2 linked regions of the Astyanax mexicanus genome follow. The protein of the gene in region 2 interacts with the protein of the main gene of each other region in a biochemical or structural test. Links are inferred from orthologs where the notes say so. Each region holds a gene or a part of one and is shown on either strand. Other genes may lie near its edges.

Evidence for each region.
Region 1: of the proteins of dok1b (region 2) and tec, one has a biochemical effect on the other in vitro, tested with the Homo sapiens proteins (2 studies listed by BioGRID, with this or other methods). The link is inferred for Astyanax mexicanus from reciprocal best matches to the Homo sapiens genes DOK1 and TEC.

What each region holds. Positions count from the first base shown.
Region 1 is NC_064420.1:25,652,811-25,660,914, reverse strand, and holds the start of tec (tyrosine-protein kinase Tec), read right to left. Parts: upstream 3,414-8,104; 5' UTR 2,525-3,413; intron 1-2,524.
Region 2 is NC_064415.1:19,729,467-19,737,946, forward strand, and holds the start of dok1b (docking protein 1b), read right to left. Parts: upstream 3,688-8,480; 5' UTR 3,591-3,687; coding exon 3,534-3,590; intron 1-3,533. UniProt on the Homo sapiens protein: DOK proteins are enzymatically inert adaptor or scaffolding proteins. They provide a docking platform for the assembly of multimolecular signaling complexes. DOK1 appears to be a negative regulator of the insulin signaling pathway.

The sequences.
Region 1 (8,104 bases), on a different chromosome or scaffold from region 2:
GCACCATGTGGCCTCGGTTGCTCGATCCTGCCGCTTCGAACTTTATAACATCAGAAAAATTAGACAGTTTCTGACAGGCCACCCAACTCCTGGTGCAAGCAGTCGTCACCTCAAGCCTCGACTACTGCAATGCCATACTAACTGGCCTCCCGGCCTGCGTAGTAAAACCACTCCAAATGATCCAGAATGCAGCAGCACGTCTGATCTTCAACCAGCCAAAACGGGCTCATGTCACCCCGCTGCTCAGTGAGCTCCACTGGCGACCAGTTGATGCTCGCCTCCCGGCCGCTGCGCTCCTCCAATAAACATCCACACAAAGCAATCCATACTGTTCTCATACAGAGTTCCCCAATGGTGGAACAAACTTCCTTCCACTACCAGATCAGGAGAATCTCTCGTTATCTTTAAGAAACTCCTGAAGACAGAGCTCTTCAAAGAGCACTTACTCTCTTAACATTTCTAACACACTAACTACTTCTAACCTCATATTCTTCCCCTCCTTCACTCCTATATCCCATTATTTCCCTTAGACCTCCTTTAAGCCCTATCTAAAATGTTTTGCCTTTAACTTCTATTACTTTTGTACTTGACTATTGTAAGTCGCTTTGGACAAAAGCGTCAGCCAAATGTAATGTAATGTAATGTAAAAAAAAGAAGCTGCCAGTGGCAATAGACTAAACTCAACTTATTATACCATATATTTTGCACTAAAAGAGAAAATGCTTTAAAAAAAATTATCAGTGCGCCTTTGAAATCGATGAGCCTTATGTATGCATTTTACCAGTCAGGTTGTAAGGAGCAGTAAAGCCACTCCGCAGAAGTACAGTGTTATACAGGAGTTTCAGCACAGAGATTGGAGCCGCATTTGCATTAGCCACTTACCGCGCTAAGCACTAGCCTCTTTTGCCATTCAGAGGTGAGTATTATCAGCCTGTAGCCTGCTCCTAACCCCGGCTAGCACTGCTGGAGCAGCATTTGCATTACCCACTAACCGTGCTAAGTGCTAGCTCTTTTGCCGTATAGGGGTGAGTATAACGGACTGTAGTCTGCATGTTTACCAGGTTAAAAAAAGCTTAATGGGACAAACCGCTAGCTAATATCACCCTATCTTACCGGAACACTCAAGGTTCCTCAGTGTAGCTCTGTCAGGTGGCATTGGTGGAAATCTGGAAATCTAAGCTTAATGTAAATAAACAAAAGCCCATTACTCACCCAAATAAACAGTTTTTTAAAAGAGTAATCGGTGTAGATTAACATCCAGTGCTTCTTTGATTTTAAAAGAACTACAGTTTTGTTTACTTAACTAAGCTTAGCTTTAGAGGTCTCGCACCACCTGAATTAGAAGGAAAACATGGCGACACCCCTGTTATAACCCCTGTTATGTGTCACACTTACTAGTGACACATAATACGCCTTATAATTCAGTGCGCCTTATCTATGAAAATAGGCCAGAAAATATATGCTTATTGATGTGCCTTATAATGCAAAAAATTTGGTAAGTTGGTTCAACTCAAAAGATCTCCATTTGAATGTATATGTGCTCACAAATGTTCAGCTAACTCAAAATAGTTAAGTAATGTTCAGTGTGACGGTTATCAGTTTGATTTTCCAAACGTTTCAGGCTAAATTTGAAAATAGAAAATTGTGTGTAAAACTTCATAATTTAATGTTTTCCATTCTATATATTAAAGATGAATTTGGGTTTTTAATTATTTCAAATTTCAAAATCAAAATTTTCCATTTCTGCTCATCATGATCAGATATACATGAAAAAAAAAAAGATTTCTATTCAGATTTTTGATTTTTACAAGTTTTATACTTTATAATAAAAACCTGATGGTATAATAATCCAACCTACTGAAAAAATGTTAAACTTAAAACATTTTGTAAGATGTATTTTATTTTTTCCTGTAATTCAGATCCAGGTCAGGCAGAAATTAAAAAGAAGAAAAGTATATATTATATATATATATATATATATATATATATATATATATATGAACCAGTTTCTTCCTGATAATGCTAAATGGACAAAATACATTCAGACAAAAAATTAAATAATACGTTTTACACCCAACTGATAAACCTTACACTGAGCAGTAATGTTAAGAAATATCTAATTTCTTGTGAAACAAACTTGTGGGTTTACAGTGTGTGAAAGTTGACGCTTAACACACTGGAAGGCCTATGCTCTGATTGGTCAGATAAAGTGAGAGAGCTGATAGAACTAAACATTATAAAATCGTTAAAACACCAACCGTCAAACATTCCAAAATATTTAAAAATTTAAACATTTAAACTCGTCCTAAAAGTGAGTTTCCCGCACGCGTGTCTGAGTTCTATAACCGTCACGGGAGCCGTTACAGACTAACCGTCCTTCCACCGTTGAGTTCCAGCCGCTGAACTCTGAACTCCGCTGCGTTGCGACAGTGTGTGAGTGTAAAGCACAGCTTTGAGCAATCACTTCTTTACACGCGCGCTTCGGAAACACGTACACACGCGAATGAAATGAAGCCGTGTTTACCTGTGTTCTGTGTCCGGTAGCCGGGCTGACTGTCCAGTACCGTGTCCGCTCCGTCTGAACTGTCAGCTCAGTTACATTCACACACACTTACTCTCTTTCACTCTCTCTCTCACACACAGACGCGCGCGCGCACACACACACTCGCTATGACCAGGAAACAAAGACTGACCGCAGCTCAGTGCTGACGGATTCTTTTGTCCAGGAAGTCTCTGCCACCTGCGGTCTGTGTGTGTGTGTGTGTGTCGGTGACGTCTCTCCACGCTGCCTCTGCTTTGACTAACAAATGTGAGACTCTGCAGTTCCTGTCTTTTTTTTCTTTCTTTCTTTCACTCTTTTTCTTTGTTTATATGATTCATACGGTTCACACACATTCAATCCTGAATGTTCAATACATGTCTGATATGATTCAGTTTAGCACTCATACGATTCCACGAGGAAGTGGAAAAGACAAATGAATGACTTTAATAAGATTTGGTTTAGATTCACTATCAATTCAAAGACATGATTCAGCTCGGCACTTCAGTGATTCAGTGCAGATCTGTTGCAATTCTGTTTGCGCTGTTAGGATTTGATTCACTTCAAAGTGGCTAATGATTCACTACTAATCTAATATAGCTCAGTTTAAGATGTATGTAATTTGAGTCATTTTAGTCAGTTCAGTTTACTACCAATTTACTAAAGAAACAATTGACTTAAGGACTTATGATTCAGTTTAGTTTCATCATATACCTGCCTTTCTTTCTTTCTTCATACCCTTTTGTTCACTTTCAACCTGAATCTTCAATATTGTCTGATATGATTCAGTTCAGCACTCCTACAATTCCATGAGGAAGTGGATAAGACAAATGAATGACTATAATAAGGTTTGGTTTAGATAGATTCACTACCGATTCACTGTTAAAGACAGGATTCAGTCCTGCACTTCAGTGATTCTGTGCAGATCTGTTACTATTCTGTTAGCACTGTTATGATTTGATTCACTATTGATCTAACTCAATTTAAGAGGCATATAATTTGATTCATTTTCATTAATTTCCTGCTATTCCATTACTAACGTTATATGATTCAGTTCAGGACTTGATGATGATGACATGATTTGATTCAGTTTAGTAAAATTCATACTATTACATTATGATCTCATTTGATTCGTTTCAGGATTTTATATGATTCAGTTTTGTTACATTCATATTATTGCATTACTGTTTTCAGATTCAGTTAAAAACTTGATTTGATTCAGTTTAGTTAAATAAAAAAATATATATATTCAGTATTAACCAAACACAATTCCGTTTCAGCACTTTTAGCATGATTTGATTCGGTTTAGTTCTTTTTACTACCAATTTACTAAAGAGACAATCAACTTCAGGACTTCTGATTCAATTCAGTTTCATTATATATCTGCCATTATTTATTTTTTCTTTGTACATACGATTGCGTTCATTCACATTCAACCCTGAATCTTCAATATTTGTCTGATATGATTTAGTTCAGGACTCATACGATTCCATGAGGTTCAACACTTGTGATTTGATATATTTTAGTAGCTTTTACTACTGATTCCATTCAGCACTGTGATTCTGTTTATTTTAGTCAATTTCACTGCAGATTCAGTACTGATCTTATACAATTTACTTTAAAAGCACTAATTAAAATATAATTTAATTCAGTTTATAATTAGGATCAGTAGATCCAAGCAAAGTATGTGTGAGTGGCTCAGACCACTTTGTTTCATTTATTAAACTGAGTTCACAGCTAAACCTGTGAACCATGAGAACAACAGACAGGCTACAGACTGGTAAACAGGAAGAGAATAAAATAGGAAGAGAGGTTTTAGCACCAGATTGTGCCTGTAGAGAACACTTCTCTAAAATGAATCTCCTTGTTAAACAAGACCTAGGGGGGGTCAAGAGGTCAACACCAGACTAAGCAGTGCTTGATTACATCAGAATAAAGCATAAATCCAATGAAGAGTTCTAGGTATTAATGGTGTTATACAGGAAGCTCTAAAATGGGTTTATTTAGTAGTACTCAATAAGGGATTTTAACATACAACACTATTTGGAACTTGTTTAAAATGCTATATTGAACTCCTCAAATGGTTCTTTGAGTTGTCATACAGTACTGGAAAAGGGTCCTGTGCAATATATTACAACAGTATAATACTTTTTTCATAGAACCCTCCAATTGGTTGTCATGGTTCTAAGTAAAGTACATAAAGAACCCTGATTTTTAAGACTGAAGGTTTTGTGTTATAGTGTTATAGTTTCCAAAAGTACAGTAGTGTTGTGTGTTAAACAGTTTATCAACGATTTATTCTATGTGAGGTTTGGCCTTTTATGAGTGAATTATGCTGTTTAAATCAACATAACATTTATTGCTGCCAAGGAACACAATATACACATCACATACAGTGACTTGCAAAGGAATTCATACCTCTTGAACTTTTTCATATTTTGTCACACTACAACCACAAACATAAATATATTTCATTAGAGTTTAATGTGAAAGACCAACACGAAGTGGTTAACAAGTGTGAAGTGGAAAGACAATTATGAATGATTTAAAAAATTTTTTTTTACAAATAAACTGAAATGTGTGGTGTGCAAAGGTATTCAGTTATTTTAAGAACTAAAAAGAGTCCACCTGTGTGTAATCTAAGCAGGGACAGGGAAGTTGGTCAGAGTTGATGGGAAGATGGATGAAGCCAGGAAGATGGATGAAGGAATGCAGGGCAATCCTGGAAGAAAACCTGTTGGGAGTCTGCAAAAGACTTGAAACTGGAACATATTCATGTGTTATAATGGCCCAGTCAAATTCCAGACCTAAACCCAATTGAGAACTTGTGGCAAGATCTGAAAACTGCTGTTCACAAACGCTCTCCAACTAATCTGACTGAGCTTGAGCTTGTTTTGCAACGAAAGAATGAGCAAAAATTTCAGTCAGTAGATGTGCAAAGCTGGTGGAGACAAACCCTAAAATACTTGCAGCAAAAGATGGTTCCACAAAGTATTGACTCAGGGGGGATGAATACTTTTGTACACAGCACTTAATTTTCTGGATTTTCTTTCCACTTTACAACGTTACCACCAGCTCTTCTGCTCCAGCCACTCCCAACTGCTGTACCTGTTAGCATCACAGCTAACCTGCTTCACCACCAGGGTTATTCTGCTTTAATCATGGTGAGCCCTGTTAGCTGTTAGATTTATAGCAGTTGTGCTCCAACAGGACTATTACAGCTGCTGTGTCTGTGAGCATCACTGCTATGTTGCTACAGTCCTGCTGCCTGTTAGATTTGCAGATGTTCTGCTCCAACCCTGTGCCTTTTAGCATTAAGGCTATTCTGTTCCAACTCTGTAAAGACAGACTGTTAGCACCATGTCTATCCTGTTCCAATCCTTGCAGAGTCCAGCTACTGTTTCTGAGAGCATCAAGATGATATTATGGCGTCACATTAATGTCAAAAGTCGGGGCACAAAAACACCAGGTTATTGTGAAACTCGTGAGCACAAAAAAATGTATGCTCTCTGAAAAAAAATATCACTCTTAAGCTTAATTTTTCTACTTTTCAATGTTTTTTTCCTTGTATTATTCACAGTTGTCCTCGCACACTATGTGCAATGCCTGCGGCCATATTGATTGGGTCTCCCATGCACCTCAAGTGCGTTAATTTGTACTGAGGAAGGTGTTTCATACAGCTATATTAATCACAACTTTTAAGCGATTTTTACGCAGTTTGGTTTGTCACAAACAGCAAAGATGTAGATATGATACAGGACGCTGTCATACATTAAAAGTACGTGCTTAAAAGTACGTGCTTTCATGCTGAAATACTTTGAAATATGCAACATGTATATATGTATATTACGTCTATGGTTTTGACAGTTGGGGGCGGAGTCAGCGTCATCTCTCTCAGCGCAATGCTATTGGCTGATCTCCAAGCTTTTTGACTGACCGCCTACTACCAGCAGCCTGCTTTAGAAAGCAAAGATGGACAGCAGAAGAACTAGCTAGGCTAGAAGGTTGTAGAACCCAAGTGCAGAGGAGCAGAATATGAAGCAGGTAAAAACTTGACAGGAACCCAACCCATTTGGAAAACAAAAACTGGAAAACTGGCAGAAAACAAAAACCCGTAAACCGATGGAGACCCGAGAAGAGGCGCAAAAGGAATCGCGTAGAGCGCGAGAACTGTTAAAAAGGGCAGAAACAAACTTGCGCCGAGCGCAAGCGAGGGGTAACTAAACAAAGCTGTCCAGAGAAGCCTGGCCGCCCCTTATAAACCGGGAGAAGAGGAAACAAAATCAACAGCTTCCCAGAACTAAAAGGGGACTGTATAAGGTGGTTGTGGACATTACATTACATTTGGCAGACGCTTTTGTCCAAAGCGAATTACAATAGTGAATTGCCAAAGTAATAGAAGTTAAAGGAAAAAACATCTTTAGATAGGGCCTAAAGGAGATCAAAGAAAAATAATGGGATAGAGGAGTGAAGGAAGGGAAGAAGGAAATGAGGTTAGAAGTAGTTAGTTTGTTAGAGGTGTTAAGAGATTAAGTGCTCTTTGAAGAGCTCTGTCTTCAGGAGTTTCTTAAAGAAAGCGAGAGATTCTCCTGATCTGGTAGTGGAAGGTAGTTTGTTCCACCATTGGGGAACTCTGTATGAGAACAGTCTGGATTGCTTTGTGTGAATGTTTGGCAGAGCAGAGCGTTCATTGGAGGAGCGCAGCGGCCAGGAGGTAGCGTAAGCCTTCAGGAGTGATCAGTGCAGGTAGGAAGGAGCTGTTCTGTCATCACCTTGTAGGTGATTGTAAGAGCTTTGAATTTGATACGAGCAGCAACTGGTAGCCAATGGAGCTCAGTGAGCAGCAGAGTGACATGTGCCCGTTTTGGCTGGTTGAAGACCAGACGTGCTGCTGCATTCTGAATCATCTGGAGTGTTTTTACTACACAGGCCGGGAGGCCAGTTAGTAGGGCATTGCAGTAGTCGAGGCGTGAGATGACCACTGCTTGTACCAGGAGTTGGGTGGCCTGTTGCATTAGAAACAGTCAAATTTTTCTGAGTTTCACGGGTATAACCAGAAGTTCAGTTTTTATAACCAGAAATTCAGTCTTAGGTTCCTTTGGTTCTTTGGGAAAAGGAGGAACCGGGGTCGACAAACAAAAAGGTATATATTATTTTCAGGGGTACCATCATTTTTGTTCTGGCCGGTTTAATGAGTTTACATTTCGGTTCAAAATCAATGTCGGATTTGTATTTGTTCATTTTCATAGATTTTTTTATTTATTATTATTTCAAGTTATTTCTGTGACGATTGTGGGTTTTATTTTCGTAACCGAGGGGTACCAACAATTTTGTCCATGTGTATAACCTGTGCGGCGTGCCTGACTGTCAGGTTCTTTTCCTGTTTTGGTTCCCTCTAGTCTGTCTCTGTGTTTATTTACCTTCCTCTGCTTGTGCCCTGTGTTTATCCCTTGCCTCCGCCCCTGTTGCTCACCAGTTCGTTTGTAGCTCCACCCCCTTGTTAGGTCCCAGGTGTTTCCCATTTCCTGTCCTTGTCTGTGTGTATAAATAGTCCTCCTTGTTCCT
Region 2 (8,480 bases):
ACTTATTTAGAGCTAAGATAGGCAAATACACTGACAGCATACAGTAAATAAAAAGTGCTCAGATTATTTGCATTTCTGTGGTGCCATTTTGGTCAATAGTCATTATTGTAAAACTGAAATTTTTATACTGTGTAAATATTACACTGTGTAAATGAACTCTCAATACCGTCAGGCACTTTCAAGTGACTTTCTGAAGATAATTATGTTAGTCAAAGTCGAACAGCAGCTATCAATATATGTTATAATGTCTTATATACTGAGGATGACTGTTAACAGAACTGGGTTCAGCTCAATAGGTGATATCCTACAAGCGACACTGTGAAACTACCCAAACACCTCCAACCCCACCTACACATATGAGCCAACCTTGAAAGCAAACCGCTCCACATTCTGCAGTATTAAAATAATTTTGTCCTGCATGTTCACACTCCTGTCACCTCAGACGCAAAGTCAACTTCCTCTGTCCCAGCTTAGCAGCTAAGCAGGCATTTTTTCTCAGCCTACGTATCGGTATATATCAATTCATTTCAAATCAGCTTTCATTTGTAGAAAACTTTTTTACAATGCACATTGTCATAAAGCAGCTTTATCTGGACCCAGAGTCTAAGGGTGATAGGATGGGACCAAATATAGACTAAATATAGGCCAATGTCCCAAAAACAAAATGGGAACAACACAAACGAAAATTGTTATTTCAAAGAAATATACATTAACATTTTTACATACATTTTTCACAAACAAATAAGGAACCGTTGTTCACTAAAATGCAAAACTGTACCATCTCCACTAGCTAAAAGCAAGAATTAACCATTCCTAAAATCGTCACCGCTCTGAGCCAAATAATATTGCTGTTTACACTCAGTCTGACGTAAATTGGTAAGATAACTCATCATATCAAATAGGGAAACTTACAAATGCAACACACATATGTATTTGATCAGTCTGATATTGAGCAAGGTCTAATAGTGGGTGCCAAATAGATGGCACATTGCATTTCTGAAGTTGTACAGGCATTTTACATTCCCTGACCCACATCAGGAATATATCATATAGAAAGTAATGACTGGTTACTAAGTAAACTGTCCATGCGAACAGAACTCTGGCAGAAATATCATCCACATTGACTGAATTCAGAAGACCCAACACAGGAGGTCAGTGACTGGCCTAAAGCAGAGTCTAGTAAGCAGTTCCAAACTCACAACTGTTCTCTTGCTCATCCAACAAAGCCAATTAATTGCTAAAAAGTTAAAGAAAACAAAAGGCAAAATGTTCCATAAAGAAACACATAAAAAAATAACTTTTAAATTTGATTTTATTTTCTCCTGTCAGGTTTTGAAAATAAAAGCTTGTTGTGTGACAACGTCGATATCCACAGGTCTTCACAGCAGCTATGACTCTTATCTGTTGCCTCAGGGTTACTAATGTGAAATTGTTTGCTCATACTTTTCCTTTGCCAAATAGGGAGAATAGTTTCAAGAGACACATTAAGGAAGCTATAAGAATAGATACTAAGCCTGAAGTAGAGCCACTGGCTATGATTTTAGAGACTTGAGATTTGAGTGTCACATGATTCATGTCAGTGTGAAATACTGGTAAAAGCAAACTGGCTTAACACAGTGTGCTTAGCCTGCATGAACTGAGATGTTTAGGTGATGTAGCATTTTTACACTTTTTATTTGTGCTTCTGGTGAAAAGATAAGGCAACACATTTTCAAACGTTTGTAAATTTAGTGTAAGTGAATTAATAGATTGCAGAGCGTGAGAAAAGAGTTATGTGTGTGTGTCTGTTGGATACAATTTTTTTTGTAGAACTACACCTAAATATCCGACAGTGAAAATAACTGCTTTTCCTGAACGCTGTGTTCGAGCATGCAAGCTTCCTTTTGTAAACAGCAACGTCCAAAACAGAGGGCAGTCGTGCTGGTGGTGTGTGTCTGACTGTGCTGCTCATTCATGTGACTATCTCATGTCACAGGAAAGAGAAGAATGGAGCGAGACCTCATGGTTACAGATATGTGTTATGATTAACTGATATGAGTTCTTGAACTTCTGTTTTTTTTTTTTAATGAGTGGAATTATTCAGTCAAACGTTACACATAAATAGAAGTGTGTAGCAACTTGTTAAATTTACGCAGATACACGTTTTCTAATATGAATTTAATGGATTTGTACTTTTACTTTTGTATTTTTAACAAAATTTTACTTCAAGAAACAGCTTTCAAATTTTTCCCCAACTGATGTTCATTTTAGAACACGGTGCATGAAGTGATTTGCAGGTAGAGATATTCATTGTGTACATTACATTACGTACTGTATAATGATGAATCAATAACCCAAATACTGTGACTAACCTAGCTCTACATTTACTCAGGAATGTTTACTTAGCTATATGTACTCAAGTGTTAATTTTTATAAATTCTTGAGTATTTTTAAATAATGCTACTTTAACAGAAGTACTCTTGTGATTAAATTATTTTACTTGTGTTTAACACATTAGTCGTCAGATTCATGCCAGGTTGTTTGTACTGATTTACAATTTATTTTTTTTATTTAGACCACAAGTGCACCTTATGAACGTCAGCGTCTGTGCTGAGAGATACAGAAATGTACTAATAAAAGTACAGTGCTATAAGTTTCTCAGTACTAATGTAGTGTTTTGGTGCTTGTTTTTAGTAGAGCAGTTTTTTGGGAAGAACTTGGCGATACGATACATACCATATATTGGTGTCAATATACTGTGATACTTTTATATATTCATACACCCTTGCTTTTAGAGATGTAGCTTTATTTACTTGTAAGTGACATCAGATGGATATGAATTTGTCCAACTCTGCTAACTCTGTAAATATCCACCCTTAATAGAAGTGAGTCTGAGACAGTCTGGATGTAAATAACCTCAGACAATGTCCTCGATGTTTACAGCAACACATGGTTCATCTAAGTTCTGGTGCTGTTACATTATTACCACAGTATCTATCTATCTATCTATCTATCTATCTGATCTTACATTATTACCACAGCTCTATAACACTACTGAGAGAGTGAACAAAACTGTGTCTGAGACAATCCTGATGTAAATACTAAATAACTTAAGACAATGTCCTTGGTGTTTGCAGCAACACGCAGTTCACCTCAGTTCCGGTGCTGTTAAATTATTACCACAGCTCTTTAAAATTACTGAGAGAGTGTCTGAGACTATCTAGATGTAAATAACTTAAGACAATGTCTTTGGTGTTTGCAGCAACACGCAGTTTACCTCAGTTCTGGTGCCCTTACATTATTGCCACAGCTCTTTAACTCTATTAAGAGAGTGTGTCTAAGACTATCTAGATGTAAATAACACGCAGTTTAGCTTAGTTCTGGTGAACTTCCATTATTACCACAGTTCTAGTTCAAGTTTACTGAGAGAGTGTGTGGAAGTGTGTCTGAGACTATCTAAGATGTAAATAACCTCAGCCAACGCGGTGTTTGGAGCAGCAGACGGAGAGTGTGGGGGGAGGCTGAAGTCTGGAGGGAAGAACAGAGCAGCTTACCTTGCCGAACTTCTGGTGCTGGACATAAAGTTGCCCCTCTTTGACGAGAGTGTCCATCTTGTAGCGAGTGCTGGAGTCGCTCCTTTGAAATAAAACCCAGACTCTAGTCAACACGCGAGTCCCCCTCCTCTCCTCCTCCTCCCCCCCCCCTCTCTCTCTCTCTCTCTCTCTCACTTCTTCACACTTCCTTCCAAGTACGTCTCGCTGCAGCCTGTAGGAAGGCGGAGTTGGACATCCAACTCCGCCCACATCCAACTCCGCCCACATGTGCTCTTGTACGCCAACCCCCCTACTTTTTTGTTCAAGAAGCACTGTGTGCCACGTGAAATACGCATATAACGCCGATGTTGCGCTAAATTTACGCATATCTTGTGAGTAGTTCCACCACGTAGCCTTGGCTACAGCACAACACATGCTGTAGTGTAATGCACAGATATCACAAAAAATAGGCTATATATACAGTACCAGCCAAAAGTTTGGAAACACTTTCTCATTCATTTTTGGTTTAACATTGTAAATAAAGTAATACATAAGGAATCATGTGAACTTAAAAGTGTATGATTTTATTGTTTTTCTTATATGGCATGCTGCTAACTTGTGGTTTATGAGGCTGGTAACTCATTCTGTGTAACAGAGGGAACTCTTCTTTTTCATCACGTGTGCCATTTCTCCTTTATTTTATACAATAAGCAAATAATTGCATACAACGATTTGCTGTTTCCAAAAGATCAATTGCCTCTGTCCTGTATATCACAATACATTAATCTGTCCCACTCACCAGCAGAGTAAGCCATTATTTCACTGCATTAATCCTTACATTTAAATTTGTTAAACTAGTTGCCAGAGTGTGTAGATTTTATAAATTTATTTTAGACTGGTAAATATCTCCAGAATTATTGATTAGCTATCATAGGAATCATTATTTACTTATTATATAAAGTTAAAACTTACGATATACAGTTTTTGGTTATGTTCCATATGAAATAAAGAGCACATTATCAATCATGGCTTTGCACTGGTAGAGGCTGGTCAAAGGGTGCATCTGATTATTAAAGTGTTTGATTGTTAGATCACACCTGTTCTCTGTACTGTAATGCTCTATACTTCATATTACAGATAGACAGTGCTTCTTATCACCACTCAGCAGGGGGAAGGCTATTTGTGTCATAGGCATAGCTAATATATAATAATGATATTAGAAGTAATTCTGCATCTTCACTGTCAACAGGGTGCTGAAAATATTACAGATGAGAATGACACAGCTGCACTGTATAGCATACAATTTAGGACCACCACAGAGCAGCTATTATGTGGCTTGTTGGTTATTCACAACACTACAGTGACACTGACATAGTGGTGTTAAGAGCTGTGTTGGTATGAGTGGATCCGACAAAGTAGTGCCTCTGGAGAATTTAAACACCTCATTGTCACTACTGGACAGGAAATGCTCCATCAACCAGCATCATGTGGGCAGCGTCCTGTATTCAGCATCAAGTAGGCAGCATCCCATGGGCACTGATGAAGAATTTGCAGATTTGCAACAAACTGTGCAGCAACAGATTTAAAGATTCTGTCTCTGACTTTTCACTCACAATGTAAAGCAGCTGTTGGTAGAAGTGTCTAATAGAGTGAACAGTGTTTTATACCTATTGTATATTATACACCAGTAAACCATTATGCAACTAAAGTGTCCTAGATGCTAATTGGAGCTAAAAAAAGAATAATAGAAGCAGAAACAAGCAGGTGGTAATAATGGTATGCTGGATAGTGTATAACGATAGAGTACAATATATCAAATGCTGTGGTTTCAGAAATTAAAATATATGTATACATAGCTATTTTGTCAATAATAATAATAATAATAATAATAATAATAATAATAATAATGATATCCCTCTCCTGCTTCTCCTCTCCCAATTTTGTATGGCTGACAGTAGTTCCCAGGGAAATTAACTCCATTTACAAACACTTTGTCCAAGCTAATACAATATCTTTATTGGCATTTATTGGCACACTAGCCTTTAAAATGTTTGGTTACATGCTTTGGTCAAACAAATACAGAAGTCTTTATTTAAAAATGCAACACCCAGCCACTCACACTCAGCCACTCACACACCCAGCCACTCACACACCCAGCCATTCATGAAGCTGGCTGCAGAATCCAGGGTGCTCGTTTTCGCTGTAAAATGCCACAAGCTCCCCTCGTCTCCCATGCCCAACGTAGCCTGTAATATAAGTAAAAACACACACTTTCACAAAGTAACAATCTCCCAAGCCCCAATACCTTAAATATATTGACTTACCAATTTCTGACCTCAGGAAAAAATTATCAAAATTTATTTAGAACAAACATACCCAGTATGTAGTCTTTATAAGTTTCTTGACAGTTCTGGCAGCACTGCAGTTCGTACATCCTGCGAAACTCGTCTTTACATGCAGCACTGTGATGTTTTCATGGCACTACACCTGTAGGTTTAAAAAAATCAAGAATTTTAAAATGATTTCAAAATCAGTGAGTGTAATTCCTTTTCTAAGGGAAAACAAACATCTTAACTGTACTGAAATATCATGCTTACTGTCAAGCCACTCGAAATGTGCCCGGGCCCGGAATGATTGTTGTCCAAACAATGTCCCGGAAGAGACGACAAACCAGTGACAGCTTTAAAAAAGCTTTGTCACCCTCATCCAGAACTGTATCTATGAGAATAAGGGGCATCTGTGAAAAACATTATAGAAGCATGTAGATTTTGATTCATGAAAATTATAGTAATTGAAAAAAATGACCAGATAACATTCTAAGGCTGCAACCAATTACTATTTTGGTATTCTATTAATCTGAGTTGGCACTTATTATTTCAATCATATCCCCAATCTCTGATTACTGTAGGAATGGCTAGCATTTTTGCCTGAAGACTGTAGTCAGCCTCATTCTGTTGACTAATCTCTGCCTTAACGTAACAAAACAGCTCTCTGCTTTTCTATCCCTTTAAAATGATAGCACTCCAATAGCTTATGGGCTTCAAATGTCCTTGAAATGACTAGTCAACACTAGGTCAAGTTGAAATTTCAAATAATGTCAACTTATCTTTTCAGCCCAATTCAGACTTTTGAAAACAAACCACAACAGTAAAACATTTTAAATGGCCCAGTTAAATTAACCCGAAATAAAAAAAAAACACACATCCACACCCTCACACCTGTTCAAAGGAGACGTTGCCCATTCTATCTCCTTCATCAGTCACACGTTCAACACGCTGAACTTTCCTGAGGGAAAATATAATAATTAATATAATTAATACCATGCACAGAGGAAGCAAGACCAGAACTGGGAGAAGGTGTATCAGGAGTAGCTGGCAGAGGGGGAGCTGGACGTGCATCAGAAGTAGCAACAGTCTGTGGATTAAACACTTCTGCTATAATGGTCTTGGTTGCACTGCTGCACAGAGATACATGATGTCTGAACTGGTCTTTGCATAGTATTGTATGGCTGCAATAGACACAATAAAAGTGTGCTGTAGGTGTGCAGTTTAGAGATGAAGGAAACTGTAAGCAGGGGCATTTGAAAACACCACACTGGCCAAACCGTGAAGGGTCAGGAGTGGCCTGGACATGTGTTGGATGCTGTAAAACAGAAAGCAACAAAACACAACATGAGCTTACAATTACTATATCGGTGCACATTAATTGTAACTACATTCAGTACAAAGGTAATAAATGTGCATCGACTTAACCCTCCTGTTACGTTACGGGTCAAATTGATCCATTTAGAAAGATAGTAAAAGTATTTTTTCTGTATGAAACGTCTTCAGCTTGCCTTTATTTGTATAATTAACATATAACATGAAAATGGTTAATTTCATATTTGCAACAACCCCCTGCAAAAACTAAAACGAAATTGTAATGTTATGTTTCATTTATATGTAAAAATATTGTGTTGGTCGTTTAAAAGTAACAAAGTAGTAAAACAAAAAAAAAAAGTAAGATTTTTTAAAATGGAAAAACAAGTGAATTATCCTAATTGAACTATTACCTCTATTGTACACTATTGTACTAAATGTTGATAGAACAATCAGCAATGGAGTTAGTTATTAAATATTTACTCTTCTGGTTAGGATTATTTTGGTTTCAGAAATATTTTGGATAATTAAAAATGAACCAGGTCAAATTAACCCGGGAATACCATTGCTATTCCTGACAAATTAAATAGGAGGATTAAGCATTGATATCTTCAAATATTTATTTGTATGACTAAGACTTTGAACCAATTTTAGTTAGCTAGATTATCTTGCTATCTTGTTAGCCAATTAACTTCTTGTATAGACAGTTTAAACAGTTTTTTAGGTTAGCTGACTATGACCCCTAGCTATGCCTAAAACAAAACTGATGCCTAGCTCACTACTAGCTATGAGAGTTTATCTGTGATACCATTAATTGGTAGCATTTTAGCCCATAAAACAGAAGGTAAGATAACTAAAGTTTGAATTAGACAAGACTGGGTGCAATTCTGCATTAGAATCCATCAAAAAAAAAACGGCAATATGATTAGAAGCAAACAAACCACATGGTACACGCGCCGATGTAGAACCTTCATGTGCGTATCAACGACTCACCGTTTATTCATAAAATATAATATAGAAAAACAAGAGGACATTATAAAAATAGCTCTGTTAACTTAAAAAATAACTCAATATTTGTACTTACCGCCATAACCGGAGATATAAATCAGATAGATGCTTTAGCTGCTTTCTCGGCTACAATTCCTGTTTACCTGGAGTAAATGTAGGCGTTCGTGACGGACGTAAGGTGGGTGTTGCTTTAGACGTAAGGCGGAGTTGGACATGGGCGGAGTTGGATGTGGGCGGGGTTGGATGTCCAACTCCGCCTTCCTACAGGCTGCAGCGAGCGGCTCCTCCTTCCTTCAGCAAGAACTTCCGCTCCCCAAACTCC